Arabidopsis thaliana: one gene and its partner. The protein of the gene in region 2 interacts with the protein of the main gene of each other region in a pairwise test. Each region holds a gene or a part of one and is shown on either strand. Other genes may lie near its edges.

The links. The genes of interacting proteins can lie anywhere in the genome.
Region 1: the proteins of AT2G36026 (region 2) and AT3G57600 interact in a two-hybrid assay, tested with the Arabidopsis thaliana proteins (one large-scale study listed by BioGRID).

The regions. Positions count from the first base shown.
Region 1 is NC_003074.8:21,326,811-21,334,464, forward strand, and holds AT3G57600 (Integrase-type DNA-binding superfamily protein), read left to right. Parts: upstream 1-5,963; 5' UTR 5,964-6,030; coding exon 6,031-6,864; 3' UTR 6,865-7,108; downstream 7,109-7,654. Other genes in the region: AT3G57587 (Ta11-like non-LTR retrotransposon), read left to right, coding at 1,453-2,547; AT3G57590 (F-box and associated interaction domains-containing protein), read right to left, coding at 3,372-4,586. UniProt on the Arabidopsis thaliana protein: Transcriptional activator that binds specifically to the DNA sequence 5'-[AG]CCGAC-3'. Binding to the C-repeat/DRE element mediates high salinity-inducible transcription.
Region 2 is NC_003071.7:15,120,556-15,131,875, reverse strand, and holds AT2G36026 (Ovate family protein), read right to left. Parts: upstream 4,612-11,320; coding exon 4,060-4,611; downstream 1-4,059. Other genes in the region: AT2G36030 (uncharacterized protein), read left to right, coding at 4,105-4,317; HVA22J (HVA22-like protein J), read left to right, coding at 6,736-6,767, 6,857-6,955, 7,382-7,438, 7,546-7,609, 7,713-7,847, 7,957-8,040, 8,147-8,452; E2F3 (E2F transcription factor 3), read right to left, coding at 8,983-9,080, 9,176-9,245, 9,372-9,615, 9,789-9,865, 9,955-10,020, 10,141-10,189, 10,428-10,486, 10,585-10,636 and 3 more.

The DNA.
Region 1 (7,654 bases), on a different chromosome or scaffold from region 2:
TTGGTCTGGCAATAATAATGGCATTTACACGGTTAAATCAGGGTATGATCTGATTAGTCGACAAGCTCATCAAAAGATTTATCAAGAGGCTGCAGTGAACCCTTCAGTAAACCCTCTTTTTTGCAGTATTTGGAGTCTTCATACGGCGCCTAAAATTAAGGTCTTCTTATGGAAAGTCTTAAAAGGAGCTGTAGCAGTGGAAGACAGACTAAGAACTCGTGGTATCAAGGCAATGGATGGATGCTTAATGTGTAATGAGGAGAATGAAACAATTAACCACATTTTATTCCAATGTCCATTGGCAAGACAAGTCTGGGCGCTGTCCCTTATGCAATCCCCTGAAAAAGGTTTTGGATCTTCAATCTTTACTAATATGGACCATGTTTTGAACTATTGTCAGAAACTGAGTAGTTCTAGTAATGTGAGTTATGTTAGTCCTTGGATAATCTGGGTCTTATGGAAACATAGGAATAAAATTCTGTTTGAGGGAGTTACTTCTGTGACTCAAAGCATTGTAGACAAAGCTTATGTGGATTGTAATCAATGGTGTTCAGCCCAACAAGATGTCTGTATCAAGGAATCAAAGTCAAAGTTGAATTGGAGTCCTCCTCCTCAGAATGAGATTAAATGCAATATTGGTGTGGCCTGGTCTAATCGTTTACAAGCTTCTGGTGCATCTTGGGTTGTGAGAGATGCTCTGGGAAAGGTGTTACTTCATAGTAGGAGATCTTATTCTCATGTTCATTCTATGTTGGATGCAAAGATTAGAAGTTGGGAATGGGCTCTTACAAGCATGGCACAACATCATTTTGACAGAGTCACTTTCAGAGCCTCAACACATGACATTATTAAAGCTCTCTACAAACCAGAAGAATGGCCATCATTATTAGGCCATACAAGTCAACTCTTGAAGTTATCACAAAAGAAAAGTGGTTGGTTCATGGCTTTGGAACCAAAACACTGTAATAAAGGAGCTTTTGAGATTGCTAAGAGTGTTATTACTGGGCACAGATGGCAATCTTATGTCTCTCGGGGTTTTCCCCATTGGCTAGGAAATCTCTTTGCTTCCGAAATGACTCAGCTAGGGAGATTGTGACAGTGTTCATTGGAGGCTTGATTTGGTTACAGGTGGTTTAACTCAGATTATCAAATCAGTCGGAGGTGTCATCTTTGGGAATTAGATGCTCAGATTAATTGCTGAGTTGTTAATCAAATAGAATGTTAGGTGTGGAGGTGGATTAGTTTTTGTCCTTTTCTAATGATTGTTTTCTTCAGTCAAAGGTTTAGTAAGTTTAGGATTTCCACTTAGGTTCTTCGAGTCTAGTTTTTTAATAATTTCTTTTTTCCTAATTTTTTCATTAAGGTTAGAGTCTATATATTATAAGTGTTTACTCCTTTACGTCATTAGGTCTCAGTCTTTCTTGTTCCTTTTCTCTTTTCAATCTTACCTCCATGGCAGATGAATTGTGGGATGAAATTCAAGGCCTGGATCTAGGTCCTGAGGATCCAGCCCTCTTCATTCCCCATGAAGCTTATGTGTATGTTGAAGAGTTCAATCGACTGAGTATAATTGCAAGACCTCTCAACCCAAGAGTCCAAAACTTGAACGCGGTGATTGCAGCCTTACCTCGGTACTGGGGAATGACGGTGCATGTCCATGGAAGAATTCTGGATGCAACTTATGTTCAATTTCTCTTCCAAAATGAAGTTGACTTGCAGTCAGTACAAAGAAGAGAACCATGGATTTTCAACAACTGGTTCGTGGCTACTCAAAGATGGGAACCTGCTCCTGCTCTTAACTTTGTTACTTCTATTGATCTTTGGGTGCAGATTAGAGGAATTCCCCTGCCCTATGTGTGTGAAGAGACGGCTCTAGAGATAGCACGTGACTTAGGAGAAGTCATCATGCTGGATCATCATGACGCAACATCTACTCAAATTACTTATATCCGAGTTAGAGTGCGTTTTGGCATCACAGACAGGCTCAGATTCTTCCAACGAATCATCTTTGATTCGGGAGAAGTGGTTACCATCAGATTTCAATATGAGCGCCTCAGAAGAATCTGTAGCAGTTGCTTCAGGTTTACGCACAACAGAGCTTATTGTCCCTATAGACCACGTCCCCACAGCATAGCCAGAGAAAGAGCTGTCTTCAGAGACAGTGTTCATAGGTCAAGCTTGAACTCTCAATCGCAGATGACGGAGACTTCATTTCCTGCTCCTGTGACACCGCCTCCTAGAATTGCTCATCCACCACTGAATCCTGAAGAATTGAGAGCTGCGTATCCATACTATGCATCAGTTAGAGATACTCATACATTACATGTTGGAGAATCTAGTACTGCAAGACAACAATGGTCATCGAGTTCTAGTACCACTCCAACAAGAGCAGACACTCCTAATCATGATAACAACAGAGTCTTTGAAGTCGGTCAATCCTCAAGAAGACAGGAAGTAAGAAGAGAAGCAGAGGATCCTAGACTTCAAACTCGTCTACACAGTGCTTCAAGAATGGGAGAGAGTCTGAAACCTCCCAAAAAGAGATAACCACTCTAACAAGACTTCTGTCAATTTTTGTTGAAGACTACAGGGAATCTAGGATAGCAGCTTCAAGTAGTTGGATATGTTTTTTTGGTTCTGACATATCCTTAACTTTGTTAAGTTTCAGGTTTATTATTTCATGTTTCTCGTTTTACTTCTAAGATCATCTTGTTATGTTTGAATCAAAGGTTTGTAAGTGGTTAGACCACTCAAACACTTTTTGTAAGAACACAATGACATGAATGAATGAAAGATAACTTTTAGGGAAAAAAAAAAAAAAAAACGAAAGAAATAGACAGTGAATTTGATGGGCCTTTGGGCTTTAGCGTAATTGTGAATGAGCTCATTTATTCATTGTCGTAATTTATGGTTTGTTCTCTCATGTGCCAATGAAGTCCGTATGTGTGCTAGCAAGCAAACGATGGTATTGGCCTAACTTTTCGTAGAGATTCTATAAAATTATGTGAAATGCAAAGACCAAATAAGTTTGGGTATAGAATCTCCAGCTACTTTTTAAAATACAAAATAATGATACCAGAGTACAGAAATTTAATAGACAGTAGAAATTGCACTTTAATTTCGGGTAGAAGATATCATTAAACTATAGGAAAAATTGATTAACCAAAAAAAGGTCAACAATGCTACAATACGATTCACTTCAAAATATTTGTAATACACTACCAAAGCTAGATTTGATTCATACTCACAGATCTTCCAACGTCTATAACTAAAGAACATAAACACATATATGACATGCCCTACTGCTTTTTACCTCATCCCTTGTCTCTTTTCTTCCCTACTGTCTCTTTCATTTCTTCTCTCCCTTTGGTTTAAGCCTTTTGGTAATGATAATCAGGCTGCGATACTTTGTTACAGCATGAGCAGAGATGCTTGACTTGAGAGATGCTTGACTTGAGTTGCTTCCCTTTGTTAACCCGAAGATCCTCTACATGGTTAACAAAAGCATAAACTCTACCACAATTCTCAACCGCTTCAAGGTTAGCTCCAAAATCTTGGATTTCAACGCTCTGGAGAGTGTTCCTCTCGGGATTGAAGTAGAACACATAAAACGGTTTACATGTATATTTCATACACAAAACAATATCACCTCTAGTAGTCACTCCAGCAACTGAAAAGTCGCAGGAATCAAGGACTTCATTCTCCGGCAGAGTGTACACATATTTAACCCATTCATGCTTCTCGGCATCCTCTAGAACCCACATACGCAACTCAACGGTGCGCCTTTCACCAGCTTGACCATACTTCCAATTAATCCCACTTAATTTACCCTCATAGTTTACCAAAATCAACCCACTAGTATCATCAAGTTGATCATTAAAGCATCCTGCGTCAAAATACTTAAATTCCTCAGACCTTACATCAAAGCAAATGATCACACAAGACGGTACACCAAGAGTCTGAGCTAAGTAATACAAAACTCCATTGATACATATTCCTTCACTCAAAGAACGATCATATGCAGGACAACTAATGATATTACTCCTCCAGCTCAGTTCCTCAGTTCCTAATGTCAGAATCTCATGATGTTCCCTTTGATCAGAAAATGGATAAGCCTCAGACAATACCTTGAATTGCTTACCAATGGGATCAAACCCTAGAAAGCCTCGAGCATTTTTGTACCTCATCAGATCAGGTAAGCTCTCATACATTCCTGTGGTAGGGTTACAAATCACAGGCGATGCATCTTTTGAGAGCCACAAATCAGGGAAACAGAGCAAACCTGAGACATAGCTACAAATGAATCGGCTTACGTCTCCTGAGAATTTTGTATGATAATCCAAATGAGAAGACTTCTCATATCGATTCTGTGGCTGCGGCGACGAGAAGAAGAGCCACTCACCATTTCGTTCGGCAGCAAACAGCAGACGTGGACGATTCGAGGATCTGGTCAGGAAGAGCTCGGTGAAAACTGGACTGCGAAGCATAGACGCCCAGTGCTTCGACAAGGTACGAAATCCAATGACTGACTTCGCCGGCAATCTCGAGAAGATCTCGAGAATGAGATCATTTGGGATTGGTTCCATGAAGAAGCGTTTATTGCCGCCGGAGTGTGTGATTGTTTCGTCGGAGAAGGAGAAGGTTTAATACGACGCAACAAGATTGGGATTGTATGGGCCTTTGGGCTTTAGCATAGTTGTGAATGAGCTAAGCCCATTTATTCATTGCGATAATTGGGACTTTTGGTTTGTTCTCTCACGTGCCAATCGGTATGTTAGATATGTGGTAGCGAATGAAGGATTAGTTTTCACAGGGATTCTAAATATCATGTAAAATGTAAAGACCAAATATGTTTTGGTAACTGGTTATGGAATCTCTAGCTACTATTAGCAACAAAAAAAAAAGACAGTAGAGGTAGAGCTTGCTTTTTGATTTAGGATGAAGAACAATTGTTTAATGGCTAAAGCAAAAGCTTAGTATCTGGTGACAAATGTGTCAATACAGAGATAAATTTATTAGGCTTAGCACTCCTTTTTTTGGATTAAACAATCAATAAAAACGAAATAGAAATATAATCAGTTTGTGTTTTTGCTTTAGTGAAACAGAAGAAAATGGGTTCAGTTATTACTTTTTCTTTATTTTTTGGGATTTGTGTAGAATTATGTACAAGTCATATACTATTAAAATAAATGGGATTAGGGAACAATGTGGTGAGTTAAATGTGATGGTAAGAGAGGAAGGAAGAAGCATGGGATAATGGTGAAGGGAGCGGCGCTTAAATCTGAAAATCTCGAGAATGAAGAAAACACGTCACTTCACTCTCACGATCGAACATGTGATTCTTGTGTGCTGCGACGACTCGTGACTCTTGCCTCTCTTTTTCTCATGCATGGCTCTCCGATTCTCCGACGAAAGAAGGAAACAACAAAAAGATAAAGATGAGATATCGTAAAAGCTTTAAAGCTTTAAAGTGTCCTCAAGAAAAATAATTCTAGGAACCCAAAAAACCTTGTCTCGCTAGATATCTTGGTAACATGTACAAGTAAAATATTAGAGCTAGTCATAACAAAGAAAAACAAAAAAAAAAACATTTGAGTTCCTGATGATTAACAGAAATTTTTGAACATAATAATCCAAAAAAAAAAAAAATGTGTGTGTGCAATTGTTCTAACTTCTTAAGCTATCATCAAAAAGGTGTAATAACTAATAAGGTTGGCATTGCGACTGTTTGGAATGCAGGGGACACCAAGAACTAGGGATTATATTATTCTAGTTTGAGCCTAGGTAGAAGAATTATATAAATATGAAGTTGAGATCAAAAATGGTTAAAAGTTTTTTTTTTTTTTTTTCTTTTGAAAATAACAGAATATGAGAAAAGCAACGGTCACATGCGCGGGTGAAAAAAGCAATTCTCTAGGAATTGAAGCGAACCGTGACATTATTTAAGCACTCACATACTCTTTCTAAGCTCCATTATCATATCCTCTTCTTCCTTCTTCACTATCAATCTTCTTCTCCACTACAACACAAATGGAGAAATCATCCTCAATGAAACAATGGAAGAAGGGTCCTGCTCGGGGTAAAGGCGGTCCACAAAACGCTCTTTGTCAGTACCGTGGAGTCAGGCAAAGGACTTGGGGCAAATGGGTGGCTGAGATCAGAGAGCCCAAGAAGAGGGCAAGACTTTGGCTTGGCTCTTTCGCTACAGCTGAAGAAGCAGCTATGGCTTATGATGAGGCTGCCTTGAAACTCTATGGGCACGACGCATACCTCAACTTACCTCATCTTCAGCGGAATACAAGACCTTCTCTGAGTAACTCTCAGAGGTTCAAATGGGTACCTTCAAGGAAGTTTATATCTATGTTTCCTTCATGTGGTATGCTAAACGTGAATGCTCAGCCTAGTGTTCACATAATCCAGCAAAGACTAGAAGAACTCAAGAAAACTGGACTTTTATCTCAATCCTATTCTTCTAGTTCTTCCTCCACCGAATCAAAAACTAATACTAGCTTTCTTGATGAGAAGACCAGCAAGGGAGAAACAGACAATATGTTCGAAGGTGGTGATCAGAAGAAACCAGAGATCGACCTGACCGAGTTTCTTCAGCAACTAGGAATCTTGAAGGATGAAAATGAAGCAGAACCAAGTGAGGTAGCAGAGTGTCATTCCCCTCCACCATGGAACGAGCAAGAAGAAACTGGAAGTCCTTTCAGAACTGAGAATTTCAGCTGGGATACCCTGATCGAGATGCCAAGAAGTGAAACCACAACTATGCAATTTGACTCCAGCAACTTCGGAAGCTATGATTTTGAGGATGATGTATCCTTCCCTTCCATCTGGGACTACTACGGAAGCTTAGATTGAGTAAAAGCAATTTAAGGTAGATCAAGATTCAGAAGTACACAAATGGTTTTGGATTTAGTGTAGCGTTTTGGAAAAGAGACATAGGTAGTGAGAGTGCAGTCTTTTATTATGCAGCAATAAAGTGAGTCAGTGTACAACCGAGTTGTTCGCTTTTTTTGGTATATTAATGAAGCATGTTCATTTTTTCGCTATCCTTTAGCTCGATAGTTTAAATAGTAAGTGAAAGTCACGGCCCTAATAGAATGATATGTTTTGTGCAAGTAACAATGCAAAAAAGCTTACCTATCATATCCCCTTTCATGGAGATCACATCTAATATCTCAATAATACTAGAAACTCATGATCAATAAATAAAGATCATGATGGTATGAACAAATTTTTAAGATTCGCCTTCGAACTGACCAACGCAAACTTTCTGTCGAGAAAAGAAAACAACAAAACTGAATAACCTAGAGACATATCACACGATGCATAAACTCCCACCAGAAAGTTTCACCTGCCAGCACTGATCAAAATCTGAAGAAATTTGCTAAGTATAGATAACATCCACAGATATTCAACAAGCATAAACAGCAGCTACAATGAACCTTCACGACTTTCTCAGGTTTAAGACATAAAAGGATCTCTTATCAATGGAACGAATAGAGTAAGATCAAACACGAAAGCTTAAACATTATGAATATAGCAACCTCACTGCTTAAGCACAGAATTCCTCTTCATTCCAATATTAGAAACAATGCAACAGATACACTAGTCATTCCAAAGAGAGTAATAATTCTCAGTAACTTGA
Region 2 (11,320 bases):
GTTATGTATTTTAGTTATGGGATTTTGTGATGAAAAACCATTGTTTCTAAAAGAGAACCGAACCACCCGGTCATATCGCTCTAACTCTGATTTTAAAGAATATATAGGTTGGTTCAATTCTAATCACACAATTTGTTTAGCCAACACACGAACACCGGTGTAAATACTAAATAGTGTCGATCAGTGATTACACACATAAAAAAAAGAAGAGTTTCTATTTTGATGTAAGTTTTTTGGATTTTGTAGTGGTACCAAGTACCAATTGGTACCACCCATCCGATGGTCCAAGCGTGGCTTTTGAAAAAATAAAACAGCAACTTTGTTAATTTTGTACGTTAACAAAAAAAAAAGTTTGATAAGTTTTGTACGTTAAGTAGACTGAAAACAAATTTAAGCAAATTATTTTGTTGAAGCGGAATGAAAATAAATACATCTTGTAGTTTGCATGCAAATAAAAAACTACTCAATAGCATGTTTCAGTCTCGTTTTACCTACAGAAAACAAATACAGTAGATGAAAAAACAAAAATTATCATTAAACGATCATAAAAAAAAACGAAACTCTGTACACTAAATTTCCAAACAATATTTTTAACCATAATACCCCATTTGTTTATTATTCTATTTACGAAGTTTATATATTTTAAAAGAGTTTCAATAATGACAAAAATAAATAATTTATAATAAAGTAAAAGAAAATTATAATTTTGATGCATATATGTACAATGAATGAGATGAAATGAATTATAGTATTTTATTATTATTATTATTTTATAAAACAAGTGTCTCTTCTAGAGAAATTAATAGTTTTGGCTTAACTTTTTTATTTATTAACGATTAAAAAAAATACTTATGTATTGTGAACAAAGACAAACAAATATGTTATACTGAATTAAAATATATTGTTTTGTTGTTGTTATTAAAATATATACTATACATACACGAGTTCTCTCTTGTCTTCTCTCTTGTCTTCTCTTTTGTCTTTTCTCTTGTCGATTCTTAGCAACTGATCTCTCTAATTTTTTAGCAGCAAAACTCTTCCAAGATCATGGATGCATCAGATTCCAACATGAAGGACGGATTTAACGTGGAGGAAGAGTTCCAGAAAGTGGAGGAGCAGGTAAGCAAGACTTATGAAGAGAAGAAGACATTCAAGGTGAGGAGTATTGATGGGGATAAATTAGGTTTTGCATTGTCCGAAAGTTCGAGATCTGAATCAGACGAAGAATGAAGATGGCGATAGCGACATGATGGTCATAGCAAAATTACATCTCCATGCTATTTATTATTTATTTTATGTTATTGAATTGTAATACTTGTATATTATTTTATGTTATTGAATTATTGTTATTGAATTTATGTCAAAAAAAAATGTAAAGTTTGTACACAATTGATTTTTGAGGTTTTCTTACAATTTAAATATTTTTTAAAAAAATTGAATTAATTTTATATATAAACAGACAGAATGTATGTTTTATTTTAAATAAATATGTAATTTTAATAAAAATTGATTTAGTAAGCTATACAATACTTATTGATTTGTGACCACAAACTTCACTCTTTCGATGGCTGGTTTGATTTAAATATTTTACCTATTTCTGGCTGAGTTTTTCACCTTGTTAAATGTTTTCACTAGGTAAAGTTCTTCGCTTTAATTTCTTGTACCTGATAGGCTGATAGCATTTACGAGTTAAAAAGACAAAAATAAGAATAGTTTCTAACCAATTCAATGATGAACTAGAAATTACAGGGTCAGTAAAGAATTACATTGTTTGGGGACCAATGTTAAATCTTGTACGACAAAACTTTTATAAGAAAAATGTAATTTCTTGAAATGTCTGTAGAACTGAGTGGGCCACTAGACAAAAACTAATAATTACAATTTTCATTTCTTTGGCAACAATAATTACAACTATTTTAAAGGATGGATCGTATCGTATCGGAAACTGTAAGAAGGGTTCGTCCAAAGTATCATCATCAATTACACAACATAGGAAGAAGTAATGCTGTAATAAAATTGTACATTTAAGTGTCTGCGTCGCTATTTATTTATGTAATTAATATTACACCCTCTTTCTAATAATTACGAGTATCAAATCCCGATGCTCCCTCATGTCTTTTACCGCCCAAATCCACAGGTTCGCTACTTTTCTATGACTGTTGTATATTCATTATGGGTAGTAAAGAATCATTGTGGGGAAAAAAATATTACTAGTTCAAGTAGTGTATTTTTTTGTCGCACTATAATTGTAGTCCTTTGTTTGAATTAGTTTGTCTCACTGAATTAGTTTTGTCACTTACAACTAGCATGTATAATGATTGATTTGAAGATGGATTGTGATATTAATATAAATAACAAACTAATAAAACGCCATAATAATAAACTATTTACCATTAAAAAACACACATGTCTAAGTGGCTCGCAGATTTGGAGATAATACATGAAATGGTTGCCATATCTATCAACATGCTTTTAGGTGTCTAAACACTTGCAATCAAAATAGTACTGTGGTATACACATGATCCACACATCCATAAGACATCCATTTTTCATTTGATATCTGACATAGTGACATGTGCGAATCAAGTCTTGTCTTATCTGGCGTCTTTCCACAATCATAACTAATGATTAACACTTGCCGTACTGAATCATCTTTACACACGATGATCCATTCTTCCATAACACGATCATGATCATACCGTACCATTGATCATATATATTTCCTAATCTGACCGTGCATAATTATTGATTAATTACACATATTAACCACGAATTAATTACACATATTATTATGAATTCGAATAATAAATCTTGTGGCATATTGCTAGAGTTTCTCTTTATGTGGTTATAATTCTCAATGAATGAATGTAATATTCTATTGGTATGCCCCATGGTAGATTGCTATTTTGGATTTGCCACACTAAACACACCGACATACTTAATGTTCCTTACTAATATACTAGCACACTTCCAAAGTATACAGCATAGAGTCCGAAATTGGCAATAAAGGATTATATTACCAGACTGATATACATCCCGAGATTGGTACTCAAGATACTAGCACGTGGCGAAAGTCTCGGTGTGAACCTAGTAACAAGCTGAATTAGGCTAGTCCTCAACATGCTATTATATTGCTAATACATCTTTAGCTAGCACATGAGGTTAAAGACACAAACTTAAAGTCACATATTTGAAGATCTGTACATACTTCAAGACATATATTCAAGTCCAAAATAAGCATTCTTCTAATGGTTGGTCCCCATAAACTACCAAAACATTTGTTACATATCGCTTTCTAATTCGTCATTGCAAAAGTTTTTGTACCCCAAAAATTAATGCACAACGGCCAAACGAAAAGAAGTTATCTATTGGAAAAATATGTATGCAATATAGTCTATAAATACTGTCCAGTGTCCACAAATATTATTATCAAAGACCTGTACAGTTCATATATAAATATATATATATATATATATGAAAATATTATATACCTAACGTTCTATAAAGTTTTCGGCTATGAAAATATTTTCGTCGACGGGGTAAATAATATGATTTAAATGCCCTTTTCGTACATTTTATATGTCTATGACCACATATTACTTGCTTCTTTTTTTTCTTTTTCTTAAAACACATATTACTTGCTAAAATGCATAATATGTGAATGTATATTTGTTAAATATCTTAAAATCCGCACTGTGATCATGAATTCATGATAATAAATAAATAAAAAGATTTCACGTGGACTTGTTTCCGGAACCTTCACGTCATCATCCTAATGAGAGTCACGAGTGTCACAAGATCTTTAAAACTTCTATTCTTATCGATTTTGGCCGAATATTACTACAAAAATCAACATTGAAACAAGTAGCAACCATATTATAATTATTCTACCATTGTCGTTACACTTGGTTAAAAGACAAAGAAGAAAATCCCAAAGCTAAGATAAGAAGTTAAAAAGCACAAACCCAATAATATATTGACACGTCAGTAGTAGTAAAATGGATAGTTAACGTGTCAATACATTATTGGTGACGTGGCATAATTCGTAGTTAAAAAAGGTTACTTCGAGCGGTGGTAGTGGTTACGGTGTGACGCACGTGAGCCATGACGGTGGACGAGTGGAGACTCTTGGACGTCTCCACGGCGTTTGGCAGCGGAGAAAACTCCGTCCCAGATTTCGGAGAAAGCGCGGATGATGATGCCGTGGTGGTATGGCTCGTTAAGGGAGAGGAAGCAGTGGAGAAGCTCTCTGAGATCGTTTTTGGAGTAAATCTCGTTCTCGAGAATCATCTGAAGCATGGACTGTCGGAAATCTAGGTAAGGATCGTCTGAGTCTTTCTCGACGGCGACAGCGGCGGCGGAGGGTGTTGCCGAGGAGGAAGAGGTGTCAGAGAACCAGTGGGAGGTGGAGGGAACGGCGGAGGAAGAGGAGGCCGTGGTGGGGGTGGAGGAGTGGCAGTGGCCGTAATTAGAGGAGTAGAGGCGGGGCTTTTTGGGGGAAGGGTTGAAAAAAGAAGACAAGCTTGGGAACTTACAGTTGCCACAGCCGATGTCTACGACAGAGACTGCCTTAAGGACCATCTTCTTCTTCTTGCTTTTGCCTGTCGTCATTGCTTTGCTCTTTCTTTGTCTCTCTGTCTCTTACTCCAAGATGAAATAGATTTTAGAGAGAGAGTGTGTGAGGGAGAGTGAGTCTACTTGGATTGGTATTAAAGGGTGCATGTGGTGACTGAGGTGGATTAATGAGAAGTAAACTCTTAGCAACAATATTTAATTTGATGTTCAATGACAGTTTATAATTTCTTTTAAATTTTTGTGAGCTTTTAAAAATATGTTAGTAAATGTCTACATTCATGAGCATTAATGTGACATATACTTACTCCACTGATCTATGAAAATTATGAGATGTGAATATAGGATTATTATTTAAGTTGACTATAATGAACTATAATGGTATTTCATATATAATTAAGCCTTCCCATTACGATTTAGGTTCTAGTTGGACGATCTATATTTTTCTTTTTGTCAAATCTAACCTTTTTTTTCTTCAAAAAGTCAGATGATCTTTAGTATGTCATTTGCATTCAATAGTTATACTATACGGTCGTTAATTCATTTCATACACAATTATTTTAAACTACGTTTTAAATTTTAATTCGAATATATTATTTTTTTAGGATTTACACATGGTGTTAACAAATATTACAAGAGAAGTTGTAGAAGTACTCAATAAGAGTTTGTTTTACATGGATTTGTGTTGGGCCTTCATGAGCTTTGTACAGCGCCTTTACAACACTCAAATAAATTGTCACTCAAGGGATATAAACCCAAAGGCCGTAGCTCCTCCAACACAAATCCAGACCACTCTTTGTTTCCAGTATTACTATTATTCCTCTAAGTACATTAGAAAGGTGTATAAACTTTGTTTTACAACATATAATAGAAAAATAAACATTACTGTTAAACAATACAAAACTTTACAGAAAACGTACAGTATGTTTAATTATTGATAGATTAATATTTAGAGGCCGATGAAAGGTGGAAGTTTTTTTATGGGAACCTGGTAGACATAGAATGTTGTAATAATATTGTCCATCAATCTGATTTTCGATTTGAGATTACCTAGTGTAAAATATAAGTAACATAAGTAACAACTCACTTATGATCACTGCACTATTAAGTACTTCTTCCTCAATTCCTTATTACTCCAAATTCTACAAAAAAAAGTTTGTTGCAAAAAGATACAAATTTTAATTTTTCTATACAAATTTTAAGTGTGGAAATTGTTAATCACAAAAAATAATACATTTAGGATCAATTTTTTTCATGTGTGAAAAACTTAGAATTTGGATTAATAAGGAACGGAATTATTTTGAGTTTATGTTTGTTTGGAAAAAAAAAAGACTAGGTTTGCTTCAAATTATCCATTGAATAAAGGATGTTTAGATGAGATTTTAATGGATTTCAAAAGATATTCTAGTAGTTTATAGAATTTCGTATTTAGTATTTTTTTTGAAGGACAGCAGAAGAATATATATTTATTAGTGTAAAATCAGTCAAACTTAATTAATTTGATTCTTCAAGGACTTTTTTTGTAAATTCATATGAAGCGTCGAACAATGTTAAATAACGAGGATAATGAGACAACGGTCAAACGGTCAAACGGTAAACCCGTTCCTCTTACCCCCAAATTCAAGTAGCTTTTGTGGCAAGAAACCGTTTACTTTTTGTAATTTTTTTGTTTGTTTATTGACGTTTATATATTTCTAAAAAAACTAAACCCTGATGTATTCCAATTTTAGAACTTACGCGTCTTCATAATCTTCCTCTTTTTTTCTTTGTCTTTGATATTCAAAGTTTTTGTTTATTTTTTCTTTGCTTAACCCGGAGAGACACCCTCTCCATAAATTTAGGTTTGTTTATAACAACTTATACATATTTTTTTCTCTTCTAATAATAAAACTCTGTAACCATTAAACATGGTTTTGATCTCATTTGCAGTTTTGATCCCTCTGGGTTCCTTGAAGAAAAAAACACCAATTCCATTCATATTCTTCTTCATACGTTCAATAATTCTTACGAGGACGAGATCTTCCTAACGTCTTTGATCTTCTTCATTAGGTTCATTTGCATTTGTTAAACGCTTAAAAATGGATCTATTCGTCTGATATATATATGATTGTTGAATCGGTTTTGTTATGATTGTAACAGGAGATAAGTCTAAACTGGTCGAAGATGTTGGGAGATTTCATCATCAGACTCCTTGTGTATGTCCTAACCATATCTCTTTTTTTCTTTTGATTAATTAATCATGTATATTGATGTATATATATAATTGAAATGGTGAGAATGGCAGATTGATATTAGGGTACACATACCCAGCATTCGAATGCTTTAAAACGGTGGAGAAGAACAAAGTTGATATCGAGGAACTCAGATTTTGGTGCCAATACTGGTATTGAATTATTTATATATGATCCCCTTTTTTCTATCCTCGATACTTTTAAACATTCATATATAATGTGTAGTGTATGTAGTAGATTTGTAGTGATAGGCAAATCGATTTTAGTTCGATCATAGTGATATACTTTTCTCTGTTATGGGTTTTTGTTTGATTTTAAAAGAGAAAAAAAATCAAAATTCCGTTAAGTTGATGTCTTCTGCTAGAAAAACCATTTATGAATACACCTCATCTTTTGTACAAGTCTTTGGTTTCGAACGTTGATTATATACCTAGTCTGGGGATTACTGGGACAATTGTATTAGGTTTATTTTAAAGATATCTCAATATATGTGATGCACGTAATTCTAATATGATAGTTTATTGTCAATATGTACTCGAAAATATTAATTTGTTAAACATTTGTATTTGAATAATTAGGATACTTTTGGCGCTAATTTCATCATTCGAGAGGGTTGGCGATTTTTTTATCTCATGGTAAGTAAGTTTTATTATTAGTTAATTCATGCCTTAATCCATCTCTGTCTTAAAAAATATTAACAATCATCAAATAATTAATTGATATATGCAATTATTATTTGCAGGTTACCGTTATACGGAGAGATGAAAGTAGTCTTCTTCGTATATCTCTGGTACCCTAAAACAAAGGTAATATAATTTTTCCTTTTAAAAAGTGATTAGTTGGATCATAATTAATTAGTGGTTTATGGTGATGTACAAATAATAATAACGAAATAAATAATGAATGAAGGGAACGAGACATGTGTATGAAACATTGTTGAAGCCATACATGGCTCAACACGAGACAGAGATTGACAGAAAGATCATGGAGTTGCGAGCTCGAGCTTGGGACTTTTTCATCTTTTACTTCAACAACTTCGCCCAGGTCCTTTTTTAAATTATCTTTCTATTACTTATATATACAAATTGTTCTTTTTAAAGGTTTGACTAAATTATTATAAGATTAACAACATACATATAATGTTGATGCACAGGCCGGTCAATCCACCTTGATCCAGGGTTTTCAGTACGTACTCGCCCAATCGGTCCGGTTCTCTGCCGCTGCAGCTAACCAACCGGTACTTTTCTATCGCTTTTGATTTTCGTTTTATGTACTAATGCAAACACAATCTTGTGTTTATTACCTCCCTTTTGCACTTTTGAATTTTTGTGTTTGTGCTAAAGCCAACGGAGAGGAACGTGAACATGAACGCGCAGTCACCGGTGGAGATGGACAATGATCCTCCATCACCGCGCGCTCCAAGACCGCTGAACAAATCACTATCTGCGTTGCGATCGCTAGAGAAGCAAACAAGCAGAGGGAGGAAGTGGCCGCCACCAACACCACCACCAACACCAGGCCGAGACTCCGCCGGAACATTTAACGGTGATGATGGAGTCAACATTCCTGATACAATTCCGGGATCACCCCTCACTGATGCTCGAGCTAAGCTGCGACGTTCTAACTCCAGAACTCAGCCAGCGGCATAGTAACGCAAACGTACATATACGTGACTCGACAAAGAAACCCTTTTCGTTTGTTTAAAGATATATAGGGAAAGAAAAGTGAATGAAAGTTTTGAATTGAAACAAAACAGATTTTTTTTTTTTTTTCATGTTTTCTGTAAATTGAAGCAGTAAGTATTAATACAGCGAGAATATTTGTGTTTGTTTTCGTTTAAACTTCCCGCTTTAATCCGGATATTGATTTGAGTTTGGATTTCTTCATATAGCTGATTATAAAGATGCATTTGAGTGGTCAAAAATATTATAATCAAATAGTGTACCAATGCAGCCGATGAAGTACATTCTCTGTTAAACTTACATTAGTTTCTCGGTGCTCCTCTACAACATCACTCTAGGCGATAAATGAATCATAATCTAATGGTACATTGTATGGAACGCACCTGCCATTGGTTCATACACGTTCTGTAGTTGCTCCCTCCTTGTATATGATTTTAGGGAGTGTTGTGAGGTAACACATTTGGGATCAGAAGTTGAGAAGTGTGCTTGGTATTCGATCATCTCGGGGTTGAGTCAACAGCTGTTGGTGCTATTTCGCCCATTCCTGGTGGTGGAGTACTCACGTCGGCTATTCCATAATCCCAATCGATACCAGCTTTTGCTAGAGTTAAGGATTGCGTATTTATATCTTATGCAGATAGATATAGTTAACTATAAGAGAGAAACAAATTGCATATATGCAAAGGATACAGTCAGTTTTCCAAATATCCGTCATGCTAATCTCAGCATTTGAGAGAAGCCAGTAGTCCGACTCATCATTCTGCAAAATACAAGACCAATATCAAACAACAATTATGAGGGTAGATTTTGAGTCAGGTTAATTAGTTTCTCTGCACAACTTCCTATTTCTATGTTCATTATAAAAATAAGCAGGAAGATGGCTTACTTCAACATCAGAGGGAGTAATCTTAAGCATTCCTCCTACTTGCTCTTGCAAATAATTAAGATCAGAGGTATCGCCGGGTTGAGGATGAGGATGATCATGAGACACAATAGCAGTTTCTGGGTTGTCAACAGTTAAGGCTTCGATGTCATGGTGTCCTGTAGATCCTGAGCTAGAAGCAATAGGCAAGCATGCTGGTGGTGCTGCACCACTCCCATTTGTGTCTTCGAATTTCCCTTCAAATTCGCTGAACATGAAGACAAAGTAAAAGCATGTAAACGGGACAATGAATGTTCCAAATCATAGAAATCTTTGTTTTGATACGTTCAATTATATGTATACCATCATCAGTAGAGTATATGAAGTCACGGAAAATGCCAATAACAATGTTTCTATTATTTGAAGCCAACGCATAAATACCTGACGAGGTATACGTCAATAGGTCCCATTGTACTTCTAAGAATGATCCTGTATCTCCTTTGTGGGTGGTCAGCCGCCTGTCAAGTAAAGAAGAAACATTATAATAACGTTTTGGAATCTAACAAAGAATGGCAGATGTCATCCAAGGTCGCTGAAAAAGACTAACTTCATCTGGATCAGGCACTTCCAAAGTTGTGCCATGAGGAGCTTTGACGGCTATCAGAGTCTGGTTCTGCAGAAACAGCAAAGAGAGAGTTAAGATATAAGTGAACAAGAAAGTCTTGGGATCGACATACATACAATCAATTGATCAAATTCCTAGGATTAAACATATGAAATAGGAAAGACAGACCTGGAAACCTGGTAAACTCTTGATATCCTCTTCAGTTACAAAAAGCCATCTGGACAATGTGAACGGATTGGTTAAGTGTCCATCATATAAATAGCACCATCTCATAGCCAGAACAAACTAGCCATACGAAAAGATAGATAGACAGAGATTTATACTTCTGATTCTTTTCATTTTCGCTCAGGTCTCTTAATCTTTCCTCTGTTTGTCTGAATAAAAGTTGTTAAAGCGTCAGCATTGGTTAAATAGATTAATCACAATAACCCAAAACTCTTTAAATGAATGCTTACCTGATTTGGTTGTCTAATGCTTGCTCTTCGAGGGCGAGGTTTTCAATTTCTGCCTGCAGCTACAAAACAAGAACATTAATCAAAGGAAGCGAGAACTACATGATATTTTAAGATTTACATGCACAATGACTTTTGAGTGTATGCTGTTTCACTACACCTGTAATACAGATACGTCAGCATCCTCATCGCCAGGACACGCATCAACTCCCCTAATCAAGTTTATTGATCATCAAGTGAGTTTACATGTAGTTAAATGCTTTCAGTAATATCCCAATGAAGCAGGATATGCTTTCAGTACAAAATACATAAGCATACTATATCATAAAAATCCTCACTTCCAAAGTATTCGATTCTTGAAAGGCTTTTCAATGAGATCTATCCCCTCCAAAACGTTTGTAATATCATATATACGTCGTTTCTGCACCTCCAATGTTTCTGCAGCTTTGTTTAGGTCCAGCATTCCATCTTTGGCTTGTTTAATTAGATTGACGAACTTTTTTGTAAGGAGACCTGAACAGCTTTTATGTCAGCATCTTCATATACACTATAACATGTATCGAATATTAAATATATATGTGAAAAGTTGTTAATTACCTAAAGAACTGTCATAACGACAACTTCCTGATGGAGTAAGTGTGATAGGAGAACCTGCAAGTTGACCAGGAAAGTAATCAGCTCTTCGACTTACTTGTTACTCTAGACATGAAAGATATTTCATAAAAGGATCTAACTATATAGAAAGGCCAAAAGGGGTAGAGAGTCAAGAATACAATTCTTCTTACCAGCGTTTGTCGAGATGGGTGTTTGAGGAGTTGACTTGTTTCCTTTGGCCTTTGACTTGATGTTGACTCTGCCCCCTTTTCTAGGAGTTTGACAGGGACTGCTAGGTATGT